Linked DNA regions of Oryzias latipes. The protein of the gene in region 1 purifies or fractionates together with the protein of each later gene. This does not show direct contact. Links are inferred from orthologs where the notes say so. Each region holds a gene or a part of one and is shown in the gene's direction. Other genes may lie near its edges.

The links. The genes of interacting proteins can lie anywhere in the genome.
Region 2: the proteins of faf2 (region 1) and ubl4a purify together in Homo sapiens (affinity purification with mass spectrometry; 3 studies listed by BioGRID and IntAct, with this or other methods). This does not show direct contact. The link is inferred for Oryzias latipes from reciprocal best matches to the Homo sapiens genes FAF2 and UBL4A.
Region 3: the proteins of faf2 (region 1) and derl2 purify together in Homo sapiens (affinity purification with mass spectrometry; 5 studies listed by BioGRID and IntAct, counting the BioPlex papers as one, with this or other methods). This does not show direct contact. The link is inferred for Oryzias latipes from reciprocal best matches to the Homo sapiens genes FAF2 and DERL2.

What each region holds. Positions count from the first base shown.
Region 1 is NC_019868.2:20,364,072-20,368,984, reverse strand, and holds part of faf2 (FAS-associated factor 2), read left to right. Parts: coding exon 1-48; intron 49-409; coding exon 410-544; intron 545-749; coding exon 750-826; intron 827-916; coding exon 917-1,055; intron 1,056-1,162; coding exon 1,163-1,248; intron 1,249-2,575; coding exon 2,576-2,667; intron 2,668-3,110; coding exon 3,111-3,288; intron 3,289-4,245; coding exon 4,246-4,417; intron 4,418-4,500; coding exon 4,501-4,644; intron 4,645-4,878; coding exon 4,879-4,913. UniProt on the Homo sapiens protein: Plays an important role in endoplasmic reticulum-associated degradation (ERAD) that mediates ubiquitin-dependent degradation of misfolded endoplasmic reticulum proteins.
Region 2 is NC_019867.2:16,993,273-17,000,082, forward strand, and holds ubl4a (ubiquitin-like protein 4A), read left to right. Parts: upstream 1-3,155; 5' UTR 3,156-3,303; coding exon 3,304-3,351; intron 3,352-4,541; coding exon 4,542-4,647; intron 4,648-4,735; coding exon 4,736-4,941; intron 4,942-5,137; coding exon 5,138-5,245; 3' UTR 5,246-5,729; downstream 5,730-6,810. Other genes in the region: cGMP-dependent protein kinase 1-like, read right to left, coding at 820-933, 1,332-1,498, 1,676-1,793, 1,866-2,052; dynamin-1-like protein, read left to right, coding at 6,626-6,727. UniProt on the Homo sapiens protein: As part of a cytosolic protein quality control complex, the BAG6/BAT3 complex, maintains misfolded and hydrophobic patches-containing proteins in a soluble state and participates in their proper delivery to the endoplasmic reticulum or alternatively can promote their sorting to the proteasome where they undergo degradation.
Region 3 is NC_019870.2:24,449,222-24,456,093, reverse strand, and holds the start of derl2 (derlin-2), read left to right. Parts: upstream 1-3,217; 5' UTR 3,218-3,272; coding exon 3,273-3,365; intron 3,366-6,225; coding exon 6,226-6,291; intron 6,292-6,396; coding exon 6,397-6,470; intron 6,471-6,803; coding exon 6,804-6,872.

The sequences.
Region 1 (4,913 bases):
ATGGACCAATGTCGCCGAACATTAGAGCAACATAATTGGAACATAGAGGTATGTTTTCTTTTTTCTCCAAATATATGCTCACATTGTGGACCCTATGAGGGTCTCTTTGAAAAATCAGTGAACAGTTTTTAATGTCGAATCAGCAGTTATTGATTAACTGCTACTGTGAATAGGAGACATTGGAGAAGCAATTGTTTTGACTTTTAACCACTGAAAGAAACTGTATCATTACAATTAAATTACATTAAAACAAAAATAATGATTCAAACGGGTATTTTAATTTGTCATTGGATTTTCATTTTGCTTGCTTGAATGTACAAACTGAAAATTCTCTGATCACTGTCCAAACAATTGGAGCTTCAGCTATTGTAAAGTGTGACTGTCTAGAAATGCTGTGTTTGGTTTTCAGGCTGCAGTGCAAGACAGACTCAATGAGCAGGAAGGAGTTCCTAGTGTGTTCAATCCTCCTCCATCCAGACCGCTTCAGGTTAACACAGCAGACCATAGAGTTTATAGTTACATCGTTTCACGGCCTCAACCCCGGGTATGTCTTTATTCGTATTATCTCAACCCCAGATAAGATTAGTAGAAAAAAATTGTTTATTCTAGCTTGATATGTATGGTCTTTGAAACTATGGCACTGTTGTTTTTCTAGAAGTCGTCTCTGTTTTTCTTTTGATTTGTCATTGTGTGTTGCTGTTCAGTTTTTATTTATTTATTATTAATTGCTATTAAATGCTATTTTGCAGGGATTACTAGGATGGAGTTACTACTTGATAATGCTCCCCTTCAGATTTACATATTACACACTCCTGGACATATTCAGGTAATTGAATCACATCTGCTTAAGGTACTTTTGCTCATTTATGCATTAAAGCAATAGAGTTTCACATGTGTCCTCCCCTTTATTTTCAAGGTTTGCCCTACGGTTCATTAGGCCAGATCCTCGCGGTCGCGTGACAGACCCTGTTGGAGATGTGGTGTCTTTTATTCAAAGTTTTGAAGAGAAGTATGGCCGGTCACATCCTGTGTTTTACCAGGGGACCTACAGCCAGGTGAAAAGATAGTTGGAGAGAATAGAAACACATTTAACAGAAGCGGATAGATGGAATGGCATAGAAACTGAGCACGTTTGTGTTGTCTGTTTGTGTTTGCTTTGCAGGCACTGAATGATGCCAAACGGGAACTCCGCTACCTGTTAGTGTATCTTCATGGAGACGACCATCAAGACACAGACGAGTTTTGCCGGTATAGTAATCATCTTTGTGTTGTGGCCATCTGGACTCCTGAATATGTAGCACTCATTCAAAGACTGTTGATATATTAGCCCAATAGAGCTGTTACGAGTATCTGAATACTCGAATATTTACAATCTGTTCCCGAAAATGCAACTACAATGTGATGTCAGAGATTTCCGAATTATGATCTTCCAAATACCAAAAATCTAATTATGTTGTCTGAAGTGTATTTTTACTATGAAATGTAGTGAAAATACACTTCAGACCATGTAATTACTGCTCAAAGATGCTATTAAATTACAAATTTTCAGTTTATATACTAAACAAACTGAATGTGCAACTGTTAGGGAAGTAAATGAAATTTCAGAGTAAAGTGTCGGTGAAGGTTCTTATTTTCTAATGACTTAGATAAAAAAAAAAGACTGAAGTTCAGTTTACTAATATGTGTTCTGAAAAAAATAAATTTGTTTGAAATATATTAATAAAAATAAAGATGAATAGGAATTTTAGAATATTATGAAAATTGTATCAATTTCCTTTTAAGTTTTTTTTTGTTTTCTCGATTGAACATTACAGAACAAGGCTTAACACAGCGAACCAGCAAAAGAATCCAGTAATTACAGCCGGAAACCCAAATGCAGAACAACAGACAATGGCGAGACAGAGTAAACGCAGTTTTGTTATGCGGGGCTTGTGTTCTTCTGTCTGGAGACACTTTGTCAGTTTAGATCAAAGGACTGTTTTCTTGTTGCTACAGAGTTGCTTTTATTTAGGTATTGCTGTGTCTTTTCGTAATTTATTTACTGTAATTATAGTCAGCTAAAATTTGAGGTTTGAAAATCTGTGGAGGACATTTTCAGTAGTTTGTTGTAAAATGGCACAAACAGCTGTGACATTTGTTTTGTTTACTGCAGAAGTCAACCAGGAAGTTCACCGAAGAACTTTTGAGGGTGACACTGTTTAAAGTGATCATTTCTTTCTTAGTGTTTTTATATTTTATTTTTCATTTAGCCTGGTCTCCTCTTTAAGATAAAGGTATAGATGATGATGATTAAATACATACTATTTCACTTCTAATTCATCCATTGCAAAGATATTCAGTGGTGGGCAAAATTGTTGGTAGCCTTCAGTTAAAGAAAGTCCACAATACTCACTGAATGTTTATGGAAAATAGTGAGAATTTGGGTTTGATTTCAGATGGCTTAAGTAACAATCTACAGCTCTATCCATTTATTGAATTTAACATCTGTATAAAAAAATGTATAGCTAGCTGCTTTGGGATAATATATCCAGACTAAAGAAGTATTTGTTTTGTTATCTACTGTTTCCCTTTTTAGTTCGACGTTATGTACAGAAGAAGTCATAACCTTCCTCAACACACAAATGCTGTTTTGGGCATGTTCAACCAGCAAGCCTGAAGGCTACAGAGGTTTGTCCTTTTTATGCCGTCAGTCAAATACTTTTGTAAAATGTCACTCGTTGTTCTGAACATCAAGTTCATGTTTGATAAAATAAGGTTCTTTCTAATGCAATTTATCCATATTTAATTACCAAGACAGGGTTATTTTTAATAAGGAAATCTGCATCATTGACATTCATATTTTAGTACAAAGTAATTTTTACTCTGGTGTTGTAAAATAATGTTTCTAAAGGTACTGTTTTATATAATAATTTCAAAGATGCTGCTTTTTATCTTAAATATTTTTAATTTATAAAAAAATATAGCTTATTAAATCTGCATAGCCATTTAACTCAGACCTTGGAGTGGCACAAATATATCCAAAAGGAAAATGTTTTATTATGAATTAGTAGCATCCCGCTTCTGCTCCAACAAAAGTACTTGAGTGTCTGGTTTGAATGTTGTGGTTGAAGTGTCCCAAGCTTTGCGGGAGAACACCTATCCATTCCTGGCCATGATCATGCTCAAGGACCGCAGGATGACTGTGGTGGGCAGACTGGAGGGTCTCATTCAGCCAGAAGACTTCATCAATCAGCTCACCTTCATCATGGATGCCAACCAAACATATCTGATGTCAGAGCGCCTTGAACGGTGTGTGAAACGGGATCTTTTTTAATATCTTAACAGGAAATCGATTTTGTTTATATTTGATCTTAAAAATTAAATTGATCACTAGTGTATCAACGATCTGAAACAAATATGTGGGTTAAAGCCTTTTTCTTATTTTATTTAATGTGCATTAAGCACATTAAACTCATTGTAAAATGTGTGATGCTCATGTGAGTCAAAGCGGTGCAGACAGGCACTGCACACTAATGCACAGCCACTAAACAACAGTTGGAGTTGAGATGACGTTTTAGTTGCAACATGGACATTTATAGAGAGTTGGATGACGTTTCTGTTGAAGCTCAATGTTCTAAAAGAAATGGTTGCTTTTATTATAGAAAGTTGTGGTGTAGATCTTCTGGGTTAAAACCACCACATGGTATCGGTTAATGCTACCAAAATAGACGTGTACTGTGAAATTCATTTTCATTTAACACGATATGAAAAAGAAAATTTGAGAATTAGAGAAAATGTGAGATTTTTCATTCAGTTTCTGTGCAAAAAGTTAACAAAGAGGGTCAGGTGGTCCTTAACTAGACCCATAAGTCCCCGCATATCGCTCGATATAGGGGGACTGCAACAGTTATGGTTTTTGTTTTTTATGGTTTTATATAAGTTCTTTTTCTCTTTTTTAACACATTTCTGAACACTTTTGGGTTAGAGTAAGTTGTATAATTTCTGCTCCTGGCTGATGGTGTCAGGTGGCATCGTGTCTGAAGCCAGGTCTCTCCTCTTGTGAGTTAGACATCACGTTCAAATCATCATCAAAGTCGTTTTATAATGGTCTTATCGTTGCTTTAAATACCTATATACTCCGTGTTTAATAAGCATTTACTGGGATAATAAACAACACATATTAATTTTTAATTAATTAATTTAATTAATTTAATTAATTTTTAATTAATTTTATTAATTAACTTAAATAAATATTTTGGTTTATAGTGAGGAGAGAAACCAGACCCAAGTTTTGAGGCAGCAGCAAGACGAGGCTTATCTCGTCTCCCTCCGTGCCGACCAGGAAAAGGAGAGAAAGAAAAGGGAGGAGCTGGAGCAGCGAAGGCAAGAGGAAGAGAAGGTCCGGCAGAGTGCTCTTGCTGAGGAGCGGAGACGGAGGGTGACTATTGCTTTCTTTAGATAAGAACAATGTTCTCGCCATGTAAAACGTTCTCAATTAAATGGCACGCTTTTGGATTTCAGAACCTGGAGGAGGAGAAGGAGAGGAAGTCTGAATGTCTTCCATTGGAGCCTCCTGCAGATGATCCAGAAAGTGTCAAAATAGTGTTCAAGCTGCCCAATGACACACGGGTGGAACGGCGATTCCTGTTTGGCCAATCTCTGACGGTCAGTAACGGTTGAAATCAGATTTCTGTTTGGTGAATTCTAAAATGCATTAAGATTTTCTTCTTTGGTTTAACTAACTTTGATTTTTAAAAAGGTTTTAAACAAAGTTATGTTAGAGATAGCTTAAGTAAAACTCTAAAAAGCATTGAGTTTTTCCCCAATAAATAATGTTTTTCCAGAAGCACCTTACACGTACGCTGATGCATCTATGATTGACTGATTTATCTTCCACAGGTAATACACGACTTCCTGTTCTCTTTGAAAGAAAC
Region 2 (6,810 bases), on another chromosome or scaffold:
TGCACAGTATCATCATTCAGACGAACAAAAGAATTACATGAGATGAAGAGCAGACTGAAAGCAGACACTCGGCAGCCTGGATATTCACAGAAGCAGGAATCTGGTTCATAAAGTCAATTAAGATAATTGAACTCATAGATAGTGATTGAAATTCTTTTTTCCCACAAATTGATCTTATCACCTCATAGTGAGTGAGAAGGTCCTGCTTCAAATCCCAGCAGGATCTTTTCCGTGTGGAGTTTGCCTGTTCTCCCAGTGCATGTGTGGGTTTTTCCAGACACTCTGGCTTCCTCCCAGTGTCCACAAATATGCATCTTAAGTCAATTGATGACTCTAAATTGTCCCAAGGTGTGAATATGTGTGTGTCACTGCAATGGACCGCAAAAACCATCAAGGTATATCCAACCTTTGCCCAACAGTGACTGGGATGGGCTCCGGCAGCCCTGTGACGCCAAAATAGATCAGAAAATGGGTTGATGGGATGAGATTCTGCATTTATTTGTGAAACCAGGTCAGAGGCTTGGGGTAACGACAGAGTTTCCCCCATAGAGCTTCAAGATTAGATATGAAGAAAGGATGTGACACTTACTATGTCATGAAAATATCACAAATCTTTAAAAAGGTCGACAAAATGGGTTGAAATGTGTCGCTAAATCCAGAACTGCAGGGAAGAGAAGTGCTGGGTTATTCAAATCAAAATATGTTTTACGGTCAAAATGACTTAAGCCAAAAGCTGTCCTTGTTGATTTTAGATTGAAGAATTATTCAAAGAGCATGCTTCCACTTTGAGGCATCTTATCCTATCATCCCACAACTTACCAGAGACAGAAAAGGGGAAAGTGCAGTTGTAGAGGAGTGCCAGCTCGCCAATCGTATCCCCTGGTTCAATTGTCAGCAGCTTGCACCCGTCTTGAGTCACGCTCAATCTTCCTTCTGTCAACATCACACACTTAGTAGGAAAAAGGAGCACATTGATAGTATAGAATCCATGTCGGATAAAAGTAACTGTCAGCTTGATGCGCACTTCATGCACAAAAGATGGTTCAAGTGACAAGACTGAAAGCAGGAGGCAGCTTCCTCTCTGATGAAATCTACGTTCAGTTCATGACCTCTTTTCTCCTGGTATTCTTGTTCATGTTCCCCGTCTTTAAGCGGGAGCTATTTGTGTGCTTTAAACCATAAAGCTGTCATCAAATGCAAAAAAAAAAAAAAACAAGCTGCAAAATGAGTTTTAAAAAGCAGTTGTTGGTGAAAACAAATTATTTTAGCCACTTTCCTCACAAGAAACCTCTAATAAATAATCTTAAGGATGACAGATGGCAGCAATTTACCTTCTAAAATAAAAGCCTGCTCCCCAGCGCTCCCCTCCTGTATGAGAGTGCAGTTTTGATTGATGGAGCAGCGATATGTGCAGGATGTGACAGCTCTCATTTCTCCTTCGTCTAAGTTCTTCAACAGGTCGTTTTTCAAAAGCCCTGCCTGGATCAGGCTTTGAGATCTGATGACACACAGGGATGATAAAGATGCAACACTCCGAGTGTAGCTGTCAATCACCTTAAATGCCGCGCCACAAGCCACAAATGCTGACTCAAAATGCTTGACCATTGAGTGATGCTAAAAAATTTGAAAAGTTGGCCTTCTTAGCTGAAGTTGGAGGAACACAGTGTGCTCTTACTGTTGACTTTTGTCACAGCTTTTGTGTGAAATCCTGGCGAGAGTCACGGGGTCCGGGCTGAAGGGTTCTGAAATGACTGTGTGCTTTTTAGCTCGCTCCATGCCCTCAATTTGAGGAGCTATAAAAAATAATTGAGATTTTTAGGTCACGTCTACAACCTGTACTTTTAAATGATTGACCTACTCTTTACCTGCACTGGGTGAGGGTCCTGAGAGGCAAACAGTGGTCCTGTAACGGTCCAGTTCTTCCTGTAGCCTTCGAATGAGTTCATCCTTTGTATCCAGTTCAAGCTCCAACTCATCTATGAGTGTGTCTCTCTGGCGGAGCTCCTCGATTTTTAGTTGCAGAGCAAACTGGAGGTCCCTCAGTGTACCCATGATCTGCAGGCATCAGCCAGGAAAGCACAAAGATAAACAGCTCGTTGCTATGAGAATAAAAAAGAAATTGTAATTTTTTATTTCACAAACTTAAATATGAAAAATATTATGCATATCTATCTATGTCAAAATGCTGCCTTGCAATTGTAGCACACATTTCCATCCAGGTTAAAGGCAAAAACAATTCATTGTCAAGTGCATCATAAGTTTATCCCACTAAAAAGAATACATTTTCAGAGTAAACAAATTATACTTTTTTTTATTATGTACGTTTTATGTGAAGCTGCAAGGTTTTATGTAGGCTATATAAAAATTGTCAAAAGAGAAAAAAACAATAACAAAGATAAATTGTCTTTATCATCTTAAATTTAATTACACTCAGCCACAGATCCATTGTTTTTTCAACACCTAATTGATGGATGGTACACAAATGCTACTCACCGGTGTAGGTGAGCAGTCCGCCTGGCGTCCTCAAGTGAAGGATGCTGGTCAGGAGGAATGCCCACAGCGCAGACAGGCGGTCACGTGACGCGGGCTCCCTCCAACCACGAGGAGGGGGAACAGAATGACACATGCACAGGCTGGATCCGAACTGGGTCAGAGGAAAGTAGTTCTAATGGGAAAATTTGACACTAAATTTTGCTTTCGGAAAGAAAAAAGAACGAGCATCTGCCCGACTTTGGACATTAAAAAAATGTCAATGCTGTAAACGCATTTTTTGTGAAAATCTTTTTGTGTATTGAACATAAGCAATAGAAGGTGGTCAGGTAATTATGGGTAAATTGTAACAGTAATCTACAGGTGAGTCGGATCCAATTTTCTTTTCAAATTGACAAACACGTTACTATTCAAATGTAATGTAATGACAAAAGTTTATCACCATGTTTTTTGTCTGTCAAAGGAAAAAAAACACCCATGTGTGTACAGGTGTATTGGCACAGTATCCTGCTTAGGAGATCAATTTGGATATCATCGCCTAACCACTTTAGTTCCGATAAACTTTTAATTGAACTTTAATCGTGGTGTCATTTCTTCTTAGCTGCGGTACATCCTTCATGCCAGTAGGCGGCAGCAGCATTACTTGATGTCAGCAACAGAGGCAGTGGCATCGTTGAGAGGAAACAGGAGAAGAAGATGGGACGCTGACGGGACCACAGCCAGTGTGGCTATAACGAGCAAACTTAGTAACCCTTTTGGCTGGACTTTAATCACATTATTGTGTGTTTTTGTTTTTAGTGAGAGTGTTGAAAAATGATTCTTACAGTAAAGCCACTTCAAGGGAAGGAGTGCAGTGTTCAGGTTAGTTAAAAAATCGAACTCCATAATGCTAATTTGCACAATCAGCTAGCCGGGTATATCTGTTAGCCGCTCAGCATCATAAGTTTTTTAAAGTGCTTTGAATAAAGTGAACATAAATTTAATTTATTAGTGACTGTAACTCTAACACTAACCAGTACTAAAGATGCGGTTGTACATATACACACCCGTTTATAGTTCTAAAGCAGCTTTACCGCAGCTAGCATGTTAGCTAATTTAGAAATGCAAGACGAAGAACTCTTTCTGTCTGAATCATTCTCGCTGAGGTCACGCCCAGCAGCTGAGTGGAAGTTGTTGTTACTCCTTACTTGGTGCTAATGCAGTAAAGAGAAGTGAGTAAGGAACCGCGGTGTATTAGAGGACTTTGTTTGGTCAGCGCGTTGAAACAAAAAACGGTGTTGGTATTATTTTACAGTTCAGCAGTTATATTTGCTGCTCCTGGATGTGCCTTTGTGTCAAATCAGTTAAGACATACAGTTGCATGAAAGCAGCATTATGAACCTGCTTCTCTTATCACAAATTTAGAATTGTATATATTTTTCATTTACATAAAGTAATCATTTTAAAACTCCACAGCACTTCATTAACTTTTTTAATTATGTAGTTATATATTCTATTTATAATTTTTTTTAACCAAAACATTTTTTTGGTTTTGTGTTGTTCTTATTTTGAGTACCGTAGTACTTATGATCATGTTTTTTTTCTTTAATGCCAACTTTAAAGTGTAGCGGTAATTACACATTATACATTATATATGGCTGTTCTTCAGATTAAGTCAAACATGTGCACTTAAAATTGGTCATACAAAGCCATTTAAGACATCTATTGAATTAGATTTTAAGCCGAGAATTTTATCCCAGACAAGACAGTGAGTTTTCGGCACATTTCGAAAAAAATACGAAGGCTTTGAATAAACAATATATTTGTAATTGTTTTGAATTATTGTAACAAATGTTTTTGTCTTGAGCTGATAAAACGTTTTCACAATAGGTACTTTGTTACTTTATTACATAAAATGAATTATTTATTTTGCCCGTTTAATACTGTTTTTATGTATTCATTTTTTTTATTATTGCATCCTTAGAACTTGTTTTCCCCGCAGTCTTTCTATACCAGTTGACTCTATTGTTCTTGTTTAAATTACAGTTTAAGAATTTGTTTTTATCCCACAGGTGACAGAAGATGAAAAGGTTTCCACAGTGAAGGAACTTGTTTCTGAGCAACTCAACATACCAGCAAACCAGCAGCGGCTGCTTTACAAAGGAAAGGCACTGGCAGGTAAAATTTGCCTACTACTTTTTTTTCTTTCCTTTATACTTTTGTCAGGTTCATAATTTATCTTTCTGTATGCCCTTTTTTCTTTCAGATGAACACAGACTTAGTGATTATTCCATTGGACCAGAGGCTAAATTGAACCTAGTAATCCGTCCTGCAGGAGAAAGATCTGCAGCCTCAGCAGTGACTGGCTGCAGCAGCAGGAACATGGGAGGACTGTGGCAGACTGTGTCCACTATACTTGCTAGACACTTCAGTCCAGCAGATGCAGCAAAAGTTCATGAACAGCTTATAAAGGTAAGATAAGTTTTTATTCATGGTTTCCCAAAAGTTGTAATGGTTAAAGTTCTGTTACTGCCTTTCAAACCCACTATATAAATTATATTACAAAACGAATGTCTATTTTAACTATTTAAAATAATTTGTCATGTTGTGAGCTTGACAGTTAAGCTCCTCTTTGTTATTACTAAACTTTGTTTTTGTTTGTTTTTAGGACTATGAACGTTCACTTCGACAGCTCAGCCTGGATGACATTGAACGACTAGCAGTGCGATTGCTTCACCCTGACAGCGAGAGCATGGACACCTCCTACATGGACTAGCATTGGAAAACCTAAATCTACTTTGTATGAATAGATTTAGGAGAAACTACATGTTTGGGAAAATAAATGTGAGGCCATTGAGAATACAATGTGTGCCTAATCAGTGATTATTGATATTGCTGACTTGTGTCAGTGACTAATGTTTATCTCAGCAATAGGGCTTTCTCATGTGTGTTTTCTCTTCTATTTTTAATATTGACACCATTTGTTGAAAGACTAGTTTTTTTTGTGTAAAATCAAAACACAAAAACATTGTTTCGTGCTAATGTTGCTTGATTTCTGGCTGCTGCAATTCCAGGCAACACTAACTTCCACTTGAGACTATTTATTATTCATGTCAGCGTTGAATGATGCCTGTTTTTATTTTATTTTTTTCATTTAAACGTGGGATAAAAGAATACACACATCTTTTATTGTTCAGATGGCCATTGTGCGATTTGTAAATATTGTTTATATATGACGACAATAAAAGATCAAGAAATTACTACGTTTTTTTGTTTTTTTTACGTTGTATTGTGAGAAATAGTTGTGTTTTGTGTAAATATTGCCGGTTTGGAAACAAGGAGAAGGAAGACTGAAGAGAATGTCGCAAGGCGGGACATTTTATTTTACCGCTGGGCGAGAACAATTAAGGGAGCCAATGAAGCAATAGCAAGACACGTGATCTATGTTTTTTGACCAATCAGGTGGGTTGCCACCAACGCTCCGCCCCTCTTTCCAAGCATTTGGTCTGTGCTTTATGTTCTGGTTACTTGTAAACCAGCTCCTATAAAATGGTGTATTTTAAACATATTTAGCATAATTTAAAGTATGAAACATAGAATAGTCGGATAGGGGTGGATATATTCGTAAACACTGAAAAGGTAAGAATGTAATATCGGGTTTATTTATTTATTTATGGCCAGTAAGCTAATGTTAGCATGAAGCTAGCAGCACATACTGTACTTCCTGCATTCATCCAGCGAGCGTTAGCAGATAACATTTATTACCTCGGACTTTGTCGATAACAAATGTCTAAAATGTACGTGCTGTCACCTTTGCTACCGGCAATCAATAGTTAATTTTAAATTTCAAATCCCTTCAAGCTAGTAAGTAGTACATTGTATCCGATGTTGGTCGAGTTGAGGCGTTGAGTCCTCTCATCATGATCATCAGGACCACTTCTCCCTGGAGAAAAGCCTTAGTAGGATAGCAACGCGCCACAGAGGAGGAAAACTGAAGATCCTGTTCCTTAGAGCTAAGCCTAAGGTTATCAATTAAACATGTTAGAGATGGTTGCATCCATGAAGCAAACAGCCTTGTTTCTCGTTGTTGAGTGTCTTGATGTTTCTGTTCACATCCCTCATGTGTTCACCAACAGTAGGAGAGACGACTGGAAAGATGGAAACTTTGATTCCCACCATCAACCGGCTGCAAGAGGTCTTTCAGACGGTCGGGACAGAGATCATACAGCTGCCTCAGATAGTCGTGGTTGGGACTCAGGTCAGTGGATGGAAACCAGAATTGGAAAACTGAGTGAAAACAATGTTGTGTTTGTACACTTATCTTGTCTTGATTATTGGATA
Region 3 (6,872 bases), on another chromosome or scaffold:
TGTTGCTGACTGATTGTCCTTACAGAAAAAAATTATGAACAAATAATTTATACATTTGAGTTTCTGCTGGAAAATTACAGTGTTGGCAGAGACGGGGGCTTGGATCTCAAGACTAGGATTCAAAAAACACTTAAACACCCACTACAATGGAAATCTTGCTGAAACGAGAGCAAAAGGTTTAAGGAAATAAGCTAAAGTGCAGCTGAATTTAAATACATGGGTTTAGGCATGTAAACATGGTCAAGACGATCTGCTGCAGTTCAAACTAAGCATCAGAATGGAGAAAAAAGGGGATTGAGGTAATAATAATAATAATCCATTTTATTTAAGGCGCCTTTCAAGAAACTCAAGGACACTTTACAAAACAAAGGTTCAAAATAGACATTAAAAGCACAATAAATATATAGACAAAATCAAAAGTGAATCAGGATGGGAAGGCAGAAATAAACAGATGAGTTTTGAGTTTCGATCTGAAAGTTGGTAGAGAGTCTATGTGACGGAGATCAGGAAGGAGGGAATTCCAGAGTTTGGGAGCCGAGCAGCTGAAGGCTCGGCTTCCCATGGTGACGAGGCGGGCCGTAGGGACAGAAAGCTGAACAGAGGAGGAGGACCGAAGAGAATGAGAGGGGGTTTTGATATGGAGGAGGTCGGAGAGATAAGGAGGGGCCAGGTTTTGGAGGGCCTTAAAGGTGAACAGGAGGAGTTTGAATTGGATTCTGGAGGTTATGGGAAGCCAGTGCATCTGGTGGAGAAACTGCTGATCTACTGGGATTTTCACCAACAACCATCTCTAGGGTTTACAGAGAATGATAAGAAAAACACAAAATATCCAGTGAGCGGCAGTTCTGTGGGTGGAAATGCCTTGTTGATGCCAGAGTTCAGAGGAGAATGTCCAGACTGGTTTCAGTTGATAGAACGGCAACAGTAATTAAAATGACCACTGGTCACAACCAAGGTCTGCAGAAGAGCATCTCTGAACACACAACACTCCTGGCACTCCTGTCATCCAAGAACAGGAAACTGAGGCTACAATTCACACAGACTCACCAAAACTGGACAATAGAAGATTATAAAAACATTGTCTGGTCTGATGGGTCTCCATTTCGCTTCAGATGTTAGGGTCAGAATTTGGCATCGACAACACTATGGATCAATCCTGCCTTGTATCAATGGTTCAGGCTGGTGGTGGTGGTGTAATGGTGTGGGGGACATTCTGTGCACACTTTGGGCCTCTTAGTACCAGTTGAGCATGGGTCCAATGCCACAGCCTACCTGAGTATTGTTGCTGACCATGTCCATCCCTTTCTGACCACAGTGTACCATCTTCTGAAGGCTACTTCCAACAGGATAAGGTGCCATGTAATGAAGCTGGAATCATCTCAGGCTGGTTTCTTGAACATGACAATGAGTTCACTGGACTCAAATGGTCACCACTGTCACCAGATCTCAATCCAACAGAGTACCTTTGGGATGTGGTGGAAACGGGAGATTAGCATCATGAATGTTCGGCCAACGAATCTGCAGCATGATGCTGTCATGTCAATATGGACCAAACCCTCTGAAGAATCTTTCCAGTACCTTGTTAAATCTATGCCACCGATGATTTAAGCAGTTCTGAAGGCAAAAGGGAGTCCAACCTGGTACTAGCAGGGTGTACCTAATAAAGTGGCCAGTGACTGTGTGTCTTTCTTGCCGAGTCTGTTACCATGCAGTGCTTTATGATAACAAACAAGTCATGTCGGCCCCACCTACATAAAATGTTCTAGCTCCATCACTGCTTTTCTATAACAATATTTCACCAAGTACTCACCCAGAGGTCTTAATATCTTTTTGTTGAAACACCCATGCAGCTATTTGCATGTTTACATATAACACACACACTGATGTTCTGTAGAGCTTAAAAACAAACTTTAGACCATACTTCCTGTTTAGCAAAGTGATGGTTACAGCTCTTGGTCCTTTTATTTTGAAAATGTTTATTGATATTTTATGAATCTGTAATTACCCAGCCAGAGAGGATCATACCAAAGTCCTCTGTCATCTCCTAAATTTCTCAGATTTATGAACCTTTAACACCAAACAGAGACACTGTGTCACTGAGCTTTAAAACGCATTTGTTTGGCTTGTTTTTCTGCTAAGTAAAGAGAATGCTATGGTTCTGTAACCCTGCAGCCCTTATTATTAAAAAATGGACAATTAATATATTTATCCAATTTGCTAAACCCTTTTCAGCTGGCAGTCACAGCAAAGAAATATGCCATAATCTTTATGTCATTCTGTCAGGCATCATTATGCTTCTTAAAAGTGTATACAATTCCTTCCTGTTCTTTTTTCTTTTAATCATCATCATCAGCCTATCACGCCACTGCTGGCGGATGGCCTCCATATCTTACTCAACTGGTTATTTTAATAATCCAGTATAATTTGAAGTTGGGAAAATATGTTTTTAGACCACAGTAGTGATATAGCAACAAAAATAGTTATGGCACACTATATTTTAAAGAATTGATCTCTGTTCCCCATTGAGGGCGGGGCTGGAAAGGGGGACACTGTCCAGTGTTTCACCCAAGGCGCCAAAGTAGCCAGGATCGCCTCTGATACTAATAGTTCCTTATTTTGGAGATCACCCAGAGACAATTTATCACTTCATTGATCGGCTCACGTTCAATAATTTTTTGGAAAAATGAGTTCATCATAAGGACCTTTCTTTGAAAAATGGGTAAACATTTTATTTGGTTTCTTTTGAAAGAAGTTAAAAGAAGATTCTAAATTCATACTGAATTTTTTTTTATCATAGCAGCAAAATATCCCATTCACAAATGTAATTACAGTAACCAGAAATCTGATTAGTATAGTTTTATAATTATTTCACTTTCTATATTAACCATATATGAGAGACATCTATCAAAAATGTATGAAAAATAGTCTGTTTATGTACAATACATGTTAGAAGTCATGGTTGGTTTGAGTGTTAGTAATTCCCCCTGGTTCTGTTCCAATGTGTTTACATTGTTCATTGCTCTTTACCGACTGTTTACGTTTTCTAAATAATAATAATAAGAATAATAAGTAGAACTAAGAAAATTAAATTCCATAAAGGTAATGTACAAAACTCAGAGAGTAACATGGAAAGTTCTAGAGCGGAAACGTGACGTAAGGGGTTACTGCCAAAGAGCGGGACGGAGGTCTGAACATTTGTCCTACGGTTTTGAACGCCTCACGGTGTAGAATGACGTGTCAGCGCCGTGCCGGAAGCGTTCAGTCTGTCCAAGATGGCTTACCAGACCTTGCAGCAGGAGTATTTACAGATTCCTATCGTCACCAGAGCTTACACCACGGCCTGCGTCCTCACGACTGCTGCAGTGGTAAGACCCGTTCAGGGACCTCCGTTGCTCGGTACCAGGATACGGTTCTGGTTTGGCTCCAACCGCTCTGTCAGGGAGCCGTGACGTGTTGTCATGATGATGCCCAGCTCTGCTCCCGTATAGAAACATGGAAACGGGGCCATCCTGCGGTGGCGGTTTAGGTGACAAAACGGTCGTTTTCAGATCATCAAACGTGTAGCATTAGCACGTCTGTTCGTGTACGGGAGTGAGTGCGCGGATTGGGTGACAAGGCGCCCCGAAAACCTGGGTTATTTCCCATCTCCCCCTGCTTTCGTTGCCGAACCAGGTCAAAACAGTTAACATTTGGAACTTACTGGTTCCCTTTAGTGGCCTGCTGGGATGACAGGAAGCGAACGCGAAGCTTCAAAATAAAGGCTGGGATGAGGCGGACCGTCATCTTTTTTTTTTTTTTAGAAACGAGGCTTAAACTTGTCTTCATGTCAGCTTCACGTCACAGAAGTTGGTCTCTGAGGTGATGTTTCTGTTTCAGCATCATTGGGACACATTAGTGATGCTGATCTCTAAACTGTAGCATTACAGAGGGTGTGAATGATGAGGAGAGCTTCTTCAAAAATCCCAGAGAGCCTCAGTGATGATGGATTGATGTGGAAAAATGTTAAGCAAGTGTTTAATTACAGAAAAACATGTGCCAGGAGAGAGAACCCAGCTTTTCTTATTATTTTTCTTTTAAATATCAGTCCCGATCAGGTGATGCAACACAGAGCAACCTGACTTTCTCTGCATAAGGAAGGGAAAGATTTCCTCCCCGTCTGCTTTAGACTGCAGGGGGATGCGGGCGCCGCTTTTTGATCCACTTCAGATTGAATGTCTTCAGGTTCGCTGGAGGAGGACTGTCACACACAGCATGATGAGAAAGCTCTCTGTCAGGGGGCCTGTGATGGACCGGCATCCCTCCAGGGGAACCGCACTTCTGGGTTGACACCAGCTGATACGGCTGATACAGCTTCCATTAAACGATTTGGATAAATCTTATTTCCGCTTGTAAATCACTGAAAAGTACAACTTCTTGCTGTGCTATGATCACAGCTGGTGTCTGACAGACACCGGGGTTTATGGGAAAAACTACGTTTATAATAGCGATAAACTTTGGACACATTTGTGCAACAACACTTTCACCAAAACAGGCACGAAAATGACTAATCGGACTCTTCTACTCAGTTTAAAAGCCACACACTCTCCACATACTTTTGTTTTTGTTGCCGGGAAATGGTGTGTTGAAACAAGAGAAAAATGTTAAAGGAAATTAGCAAAAGTGCAGCTGAAATGAAATAAAGGGATTGTGAATGTGACCGTTTGCCTTTTTCTCCAGTTGGGAATTAAAAAATGTTGTTTTATTGCAGCTGGGTCAAAAAAGCAGCTCCTCTATGTCTAAAAATGTGTTCTTAACATTTACCAGCACTAACTGTTGCAATAGTAAGCGGCTGGATGGCTCAGCTGCCTGCATGCAGGACTGATGCTTGGGAAACCAGGGTTCGTTTCCCAGGGGCCATGGTGAGCTTCATCTAGAGGGGGTCCTTGGGCAAGACCCTTCACATTACTGCCTAACCATGTACCCACAAGGGGGCTTGAGCCTAGGTCTGCCTGTGTCGGTCTGCCTGTGTCGGTCCCCAGCCCGCCTGCCTGTGTCGGGAAGGGCATCCAGCATAAAACTCTCTGTCAAACCACCTGTGCAACTCAGTGAAAGCTGATTGGCTTGCGTTTCTGAGTTTTTCTTGATTCAAATTGTTGTGAATCAGAAGCAGATGAAAAAATGCAGTTTGAAAAAGAGCTTATTTGTGACAAAGAAAATATGCTGGGTGGGCCACAAGCTCCCTGCTCCGCTCCATTGTGATGCATTCACTTGCAGACAAATAGATCCGTGTACGTCTGAGCTGCATCTGCCTCGAAACTGTACTGCTGGCAAGCTCCAATTTTCCTCGCCATTTTCCTTGCACCGCTAATGTTAGCTTTGGGCTGTGAGGGGCTCTAAGCTAGCGGGACAGCGTGTAAACAGATGGATGATGGGAAGTGAGGTTGCTCTACGCCAAGCGTCGGAGAAGAATTTCTGATGAACTCCCACTGCTCTGCAGAAATGATGTCCAGTGTCCAGACTTCTTTGCATTCTCTGTTTTATTTAAAAGGAGGAACTCATTTCAAAGTGACAAACTATACTTTTGTAGATATAACTGGGTTCAGGACAGAAGGTCAAAGGGTCATAGGGTTTCACTGCTGGCTGCCTCTTTGATGTAGGATGATTTTTGAATTTTCTAGTAGTAGAGCTTTATAATAAATGTAAAACAAAATCGAATACATTTAAAACGAAAGCAAGTTTTCAGGAAAGTACCGGTTTGCACGTGCAGTCACACCCGCCACTACACTCAACAACATCAGTCTGTGGTAAAAATGCCACCCACAGTAATGACTGCTACACACTTAACCAAACAACTACCGGTAGACAGATTCTTATGAATTGGCAGGAACAGTAGGGATGCCACAATTCTTAGTTTGAAACCAAACAGTGTGTTACACCTTTCAACCATATTTAGGAGAAAGTGAATCATCCCTGACGTCCCTACTGCGTATGTTTGCATGTTTTTATGTTGAAAGTGTCAAACATGGGCTATGATAAATTAGATATATTTAATATTGCTTTATTATGTTACACCAGGCTTGGTATGAGACCACTAGAGGGTTTTCTTCATTCAAATTTGCTTATTAGCAAATTAAAAGGATTTCTCTGTACTTTTAGTCATTTGTTGTTGTTTTTTGATATCGAACCGAAAATATCCAAGAGTTGAGATGTTTCCCCTGACTTGATGTTTATTTGTTCCCGCTGCAGCAACTGGAGATCATCACACCTTTTCAGCTCTACTTCAATCCAGATTTGATTCTGAGGAATTACCAGGTGAGCCGGCTGACTCTCAGGGCGTTCCCTGCACGCCGTCTGCTTCTTTGGTTCCATGCAGTTTACGTATGGATGTCCTTTTCTTTTTTTCTTTTTTTTTTTTAGGTATGGCGGCTAATAACGAACTTCCTGTTTTTTGGTCCAGTTGGCTTCAATTTCCTGTTTAATATGATTTTTCTGTATCCTTCTTGGTTGAGCGGAAGACGTTTTGCATGTTTCAGTTTCAGACAGCCAGTGTTTAATGAACCAGTTTGACAGAGAGATCAGATCACTTGGAGTTTAAAGGGATCCTTGAAATCTTGTATTTTTTTCGCTCGGGGTGTGAAAAACGAACCTTTTCCTTATTTTGATGCAGCAGTCATGTGTGTTCATTCTGCCAGCCCTTTTACAGTAAATGTTTTAATGACTTTCAGATGAATTATATTCTGAACATGCTGCTGCTTGCAATCATTCCAAACATGTGCTTAATGTGGAGACTTTGTGTGCGGGCTTCCTTAACAGTCTGCCCTCAGCTACAGATACTGCCGGATGCTGGAGGAAGGCTCCTTCAGGGGACGAACGGCTGACTTTGTCTTCATGTT